2 linked regions of the Sus scrofa genome follow. The protein of the gene in region 2 purifies or fractionates together with the protein of the main gene of each other region. This does not show direct contact. Links are inferred from orthologs where the notes say so. Each region holds a gene or a part of one and is shown on either strand. Other genes may lie near its edges.

Evidence for each region.
Region 1: the proteins of IFT81 (region 2) and IFT74 purify together in Homo sapiens (affinity purification with mass spectrometry; 3 studies listed by BioGRID and IntAct, counting the BioPlex papers as one, with this or other methods). This does not show direct contact. The link is inferred for Sus scrofa from reciprocal best matches to the Homo sapiens genes IFT81 and IFT74.

The regions. Positions count from the first base shown.
Region 1 is NC_010443.5:196,156,880-196,160,379, forward strand, and holds part of IFT74 (intraflagellar transport protein 74 homolog), read right to left. Parts: intron 3,404-3,500; coding exon 3,355-3,403; intron 1,934-3,354; coding exon 1,835-1,933; intron 1,671-1,834; coding exon 1,610-1,670; intron 1-1,609. UniProt on the Homo sapiens protein: Component of the intraflagellar transport (IFT) complex B: together with IFT81, forms a tubulin-binding module that specifically mediates transport of tubulin within the cilium. Binds beta-tubulin via its basic region. Required for ciliogenesis.
Region 2 is NC_010456.5:31,523,048-31,526,547, reverse strand, and holds part of IFT81 (intraflagellar transport protein 81 homolog), read right to left. Parts: intron 3,330-3,500; coding exon 3,226-3,329; intron 2,541-3,225; coding exon 2,360-2,540; intron 1-2,359. UniProt on the Homo sapiens protein: Component of the intraflagellar transport (IFT) complex B: together with IFT74, forms a tubulin-binding module that specifically mediates transport of tubulin within the cilium. Binds tubulin via its CH (calponin-homology)-like region.

The sequences.
Region 1 (3,500 bases), on a different chromosome or scaffold from region 2:
CATAAAAAAGAATGACATAATGCCATTTGCAGCAACATGGATGGAACTAGAGAATCTCATCCTGAGTGAAATGAGCCAGAAAGACAAAGACAAATACCATGTGATATCACTTATAACTGGAATCTAATATCCAGCACAAATGAACATCTCCACAGAAAAGAAAATCATGGACTTGGAGAAGAGACTTGTGGCTGCCTGATGGGAGGGGGAGGGAGTGGGAGGGATTGGGAGCTTGGGGTTATCAGACACAACTTAGAATAGATTTACAAGGAGATCCTGCTGAGTAGCATTGAGAACTATGTCTAGATACTCATATTGCAACAGAACAAAGGGTGGGGGAAAAATGTATACATGTAGGAATAACTTGATCTCCATGATGTACAGCGGGAAAAAATTAAAAAAAAATTTTTAAATCTTTCATCTAATACCATTTCATATTTTATAAAAAAATCTATTTTTTATTTGGAACAGAATACCATTTACAAAAAACTGCATGGAGTATTACAGATTATGTAGTCCAACCAGTATGGGAATTACATATACTATAATCAGAGTTCATGAGTACAATATAACAATATCAAGTAGGTATATCATAATTTACCTAATCATTATGGTAGCATGTTTCTTATTTTGTGTAACACTATTTTCTTTTGGCTGTTGCCATGGCATGTGGAAGTTCTGAGGACCAGGGATCAAACCTGCACCAGAGCAATGACCCAAGCCATAGCAGTGACACATGCTAGATACTTAAGCTATTGAACCACCAGGAAACTACTGCGTAACACTATTTTTTAATTGGAGAAGGGAGATAAAATTTTGCAGTAAATCCAGAGACCACTGCTGCTTACAGTACCTACAGAATTAGAAGGAAGAAAATTCTGACACTAGAAATTTTCATGGGCCAAAGATTACCTCAACGATTGAGGCAGTAATCAACACTGCCAAAGGGATTATTTCTTCTGGAAGTCCATATTAGGATCATCCTTGGTGGAACAATATTTATGTTAGATACTCTACTCTGACAGAAGACAAACACTGTATTTTGGTTTGTTATTTTTTTAGCTGTGCTTGTGGCATATAGAAGTTTCTGAGCCAGGGAATGAACCCACGTCACAGCAGCGACCTGGGCCACTACAGTGACAACACCACATTACTTAACCTGCTGCACCACAGGGGAACTCCCACAAACACTGTATTATGAATGAAACATATGGATGAAGGTAAGTAATTACATTTCTAAAATTTCATGAGGACAACATTGCATAGGGAGAAAAATATTTGGAAAACGATCACATTGCTAGTACCTGATAAATTTTATCCACTTTAAAAATTATTACTTTAACACTGTTATGGGGAAAAAAAAGTCTGTGTGTCTCTGTATTTTTAATATAATGTATTTTTTTTAAAAAATGGAAGAATACATATCAATCTATTAAGACAAATTATTTCCGGGGAGGAAGTGAGGGAGAAAGCAAAGGGGCACTGCATATGGTTTCAACCTTTCTCAATAAGTATGTACTCATGTATTATTTGCTACTTAAAATCACATTTTTAAAGTAAAAAGCAATGAAAATATTTGAAAGAAATTCACTCAGAAAAGACTAAATACCATGTTGTAGTCTGCTAGTTGTCCTTGAAACTCTTTGATTTCAACAGCTAAAGTCTCAGCTCTGCAAACATAAAATATATACATGCATAAACACATGAAAGCAGATGAATGTTATTAATATTACGTATAACTAAAAATTTAGTATTAAACTCCTGAAACATATTACATTAAATGTTACTAATAATAAGAAAATACCTTGCATATTTTAACTGCAAAATTACTTACCTCTTTTCATATGACAAATATACTGAATTCTCTTGATTGTACATTTCTATTTCTTTTTGAAGTTTATTAATTTCTGTTGTAAGTTCACTTATTTTACTTCTAAGCGAAAAGAAATTAAAAAGTCAGCAAGACTTCCAATCCAGAAAAGTCTTTCTAGTCAAACAAAACAAACTTTTCATAAATGTACAATAATAAAAATGGTTTTGTAAAATTTCACTAAAAAAACAATTTAAGTTGCTTATTTGATTAAGGAGGAGGTACAAGATATATCCCAAATGATAAACTGATACAGATTCTCTACTCACTAAAAAAAGATGAAATAGTACCAGAATGGAAACCTGGTCAATCTGGTATAATCTACAGACAGAAGTAGATGCCTAATTGTCACCCTCACAGCTCTTGCTATCCTCTAGAACAAGGTTTCTCAAGTGTAGCACATTTAGTTAGGTCTTTGAATGATACTTTGGTGGGAAGTGGTAGGGTATACTGTGCACCACATGATGTTTAACAGGATCCCTGGTCTGGATGCCAGCAACATAGCCCCCAGTCCCAGTTATGACAACCAAAAATGTGTCTAAAAATTGCCAAATGTTCTTTGGGGGCCAAAATCGCTGCCAGTTGAGAACCAGTTCTAGAGTCAATTACACAAGTAGGTAAAACTATTTTTTAATACAGAAGCACAAATCCTGGAGAAGAGAGGCAACGAAATAATGAGAAATAGCCCTATCTCCCTTCCTTCTTTTAATTAAAAAGTGGCTGGATATTAAAAGACGTTATTCAACTGATGGTCTCACTATCTTTGTTACTGCTGTTAGCTTTGAGGACAGATGGGGAAAGCCTACCTTCTTTTATTGCCTTCTAGGAGTTTGAGAATCAAAAGGATTCAAGTAATTGAGCAACAAAAGAACTTAGAAGAAAACAGAGTTTGCAGGACACAATAGAAGGATGCATTAAATGGAATGCAAGTAAGAAAGAAAGCAGATATAGAGAATGGGTGAACAAGAAAATAAACTGGAAAAATGGAAATAAGACAGTAGGGTATATGAGAAAAGAAAAAGGTAGGTAGAAAAAAAGAAAAAAATCTTAATTTAGAGCTGCATACTTAGAGATGTATAACAAAGCTTATAAATGAAAACTATACCATATTTATAGCAACTGACAATGTATATTTATGTAAAACTGTACTATTTATTATAAAGTATATAGATTTTCCCATTCTTATTAGATGTATGATTAATATATTTCAGCTTAGTGAAAGAAGCATAAAAGATTATTCTTATTATTACATAAAAACAGTGAATCTAAATACATAGTTCATATACATTCAAATACATAAAATTTTAAATTTCAGCCCAATTGATTTATCATATTTTGTGATATTATCTATTTACAGCCAAATTAACCAGCAATCATGTTAGAATACAAAATAATTCTTAGAAATCAATAGACACCTAGTTATCTTAATAAGCCGTAGATAAAACTTCATGATCATGCATAGAAAAAAAGAGTATTTAACATACCGAAGAAGCCCAAGATAATAAGATTTGTCTAAAATTTGCCTCTGGGGACCTAAAAAAAAATTTTTAAGTATTAGTGTTCACTTTGAAAATGCCACCAAAATACCAAAGCTCAACCAGAACTATATGCTGTAATTCTCTGATAGCCT
Region 2 (3,500 bases):
TAAGGATCTGGCATTGCCGTGAGCTGTGGTGTAGGTTGCAGACGCGGCTCGGATCCCGCGTTGCTGTGGCTCTGGCGTAGGCCGGTGGCTACAGCTCCGATTCGACCCCTAGCCTGGGAACCTCCATATGCCGCGGGAGCGGCCCAAGAACCAAGAGATAGCAACAATAACAACAACAAAAAGACAAAAGACAAAAAAAAAAAAAAAAGAAAAAAATCACAACTCATATAAAAATTTTTAAGTAGATTTTTGGTGGATAATGACAGGAAATTAATAATATTCTTTCTCGACTGGTCATATTCTGCAAGTACAAAAATCAATCATTCTAAAACTCTTCATTTAGAAAAACAATGTGCATTTTTTATTAGGCTCTCTGCTAAATGTGTCTAAGTCACTTTATTTTTTATTTTATATTATTTAGTTTTTTATGTTTATTTTTAATTTTTGTCTTTTTAGGGCCGCACCTGGGGCATATGGAGGTTCCCAGGCTAGGAGTCTAATCAGAGCTGTAGCTGCTGGCCTATGCCATAGCCACAGCCACACCAGATCTGAGCTGTGTCTGCAACCTACACCACAGATCACGGCAATGCCAGATCCTTAACCCACTGAGCAAGGCCAGGGATCGAACCTGCAACCTCATGTTTCTTAGTCGGATTCGTTTCCTCTATGCCACAATGGGAACTCCTGTCTAAGTCATTTTATACACACATCTCAAATATGCTTCAAGAACAAACATGTCTTTATTACTATTATCCCTTCCATTAATAATTAGCTGGGGTGTTTCCACGTGGCACAATGGGTTAATGATCCAGCCTGTCTCTGTGCAGGCAAGGGTTTGATCCCTGGCCCAGCACAGTGCATTAAGGATCTACTGTTGCTGCAACTGTGGCATAGGTTGCAGTTCTGGCTCAGATTTGATCCCTGGCCTGGGAATTTCCATAGGCCATGGATGCAGCCAAAAAAGAAAAAAAGAATTAGCTGGGCATGCCTGGTAAAAACTATTAATAAACTTCCTCCAGAGGAATTAGTTTCTATCAAATTTACTGAGGGGGGAGGGTAGGGAGGAGAAAATGTTTTTACACCTCTCTATTTCTTACATTATGTAAAGCCTTCAAAGGTAGTGCTGTGGTGGTCTCGTTCTTCTGTACTTTTCTCAAGGCATCTACTATAACATTTGACGTAATTGTTTGCATAAATTTTTCAACCCCAGAAATGTCTTAAGAGATCAGTACTGACTCTACTTCAAATGATAGCTATGGCTATGCAAAATAACAAAATACATGGATGAAAAAATATATGGTTGATTGTTCCAGTTCAGTCCAAAGTTTGAGTACATATCACACAGAAGCAACCCTATAAAACCATGAAGGAAAACAAAGAGACAAGACGGGATACCTGTCTTCACACATCTCATAATCTATTGGGAGAGATAGATTGACAAACTATTCACAACAAACTGGTACAAATCAGTCTATGAACCTACTATGGAATAAAAGTACAAATGCTAAACAGAGACAATTTCTTTTCTCTTAAATCAAAGTCCTTTGAAGTCTTAAGCCTAAATTCTTTCCATAGTCTTTGATCAGCAATGTGCTTTGAAATCTCAGTTACAGGAGCCAGGTCAGCTAGAATCCTGAGTAGTCAAGAGTTTTAGGACCTTAAAGCCAGAACTCAGTATCACCCCAAAACTCTGGTGGTGAAGGTACACTGAAATTGCAAATTCCTGGTCCTTTCTCTCCTTCTACTAGATTGGCATATCTTTTGAGATCATAAGCCTGGCATCTTTGCCCACAAACAATCTTTGAAGGTGTTTACATGTTCCAATTTGCCTGGGATAGTGTCAGTTTACACCTTTTGCTCTGGTGTAATTATTATGATAACCCCTTTGCTCTCTGATCTGGATGACAAATTGTGTAGTCACCCAACTGATCAAGAAAATGCTCTGTGTTTCCAAGCCTAGGATCATACCTACCCACAATTCTTCTTTTTTTGGCCACACTCCTAGCATGTAGAAATTCCCAGGCCAGCAATCAAATCTTGACACAGCAGTAACAATATCAGATCCTTAAATCACTGTGCCACAAGGGAATTCCTACCCACAATTCTTAAGTAATAAATTATTCTAAAATCCTAATTTCAGGAGTTTTTTTCATTCCATATAGTCTACCACTTTAATAGTACTTGTGTGCAAAAAATCAATATTTTCATACATGATTGCAGCTAAACATTAGCTGATAAATATTTTACCTTTTGATGTCACTGGAAATACAGAGACAACAAATAGAGATGAACATATACTGAACATGTGTACTCTGAAATCCACTACAGATAGTTTAAAAATACCACATATATTTTATACCTGTTTATTGGTATCAGCCACAGTTTCGTCCTGAAGAAACTCACTTGGTACCTCAAGTTTTATTAAAAAACGAGCTAAATATGCTCTTTTCTTCAGTTCATTAGTCCTCTGAAGAAGCCAGTGGAGCACTGGGTAAATTACAGGTTTACTTCCAATCACTAGACCCTGACGGAATGTACTCCTATTAAAAGAAAATACACACACATACACACACACAGGTTTGTAAGTAAATCTTGAAAAGAGATAACATTTGCTCAAAATCCAGTTTCCACATTCCTGACTGCTTTCCATAACTATTTAAGAAAGATAAAACCAAGGCTATTCTAAAATCTGCACATTAACAATAATCATAAAATTAGGCCCTTAATAAATTACTGGAATATACAAGAAGGTTGTTTTAAAAACCATTAACTGGTACAGTCAGCCTTAATACCTCACTTCATTGTCTGGGCATGTTTAAGTTATTGTTTCTGTTTAGGAAGGCAGATAAATGATAAAATGGAAAAGTGGATTTGCCTCTTTTTTTTTTTTTTTTTTTTTTTTTTTTTTTTTTTTTTTAAGTTGTACCTGTGGTATGTGGAAGTTTCAGGGCCAGGGATTGAATCAAGCCACAGCAGTGACAATGCTGTATCCTTAACCCATTAAACTACCAGGGAACTCCCTGCCTCACTTTTTTGATTAAGAGAAAGAAGTGATACAGTTAAGGCTTCTGCATGATGAAATAAAAGTTCAAGATTACTTTGAAGTCAGTGATTTTCTAAGGCCAATGACTTAGGGAAAATAGGTTATTACCTAGAAAAACTGACTCTGAAGCTTTGGTTATTAAAGCATAGCTCTAAGAAAGTAACACTTGAACAGATTCTTACATGTCCGTGGCACTTCCTGGAGGTTTGTATTTAAGGATGCCAAGAAGGCTCAACATCCGCTTGGCTGTCTGCTCTGGCATCTCCTCTCTGATATCAACATCTTGCTAACAAATAAAAAAATTGAAAAATGTTATTACTGTATATTTAACACAGTACAGCATTCAAACTCACTCACAAAATTGTTATGCTAGAGCATTAAAGTCACAATGGTCTCTTCATAAAACAGATTAAGTATGGAGGCCTCCAGATTCCAAGTGAGGGTACATACAAGTCAG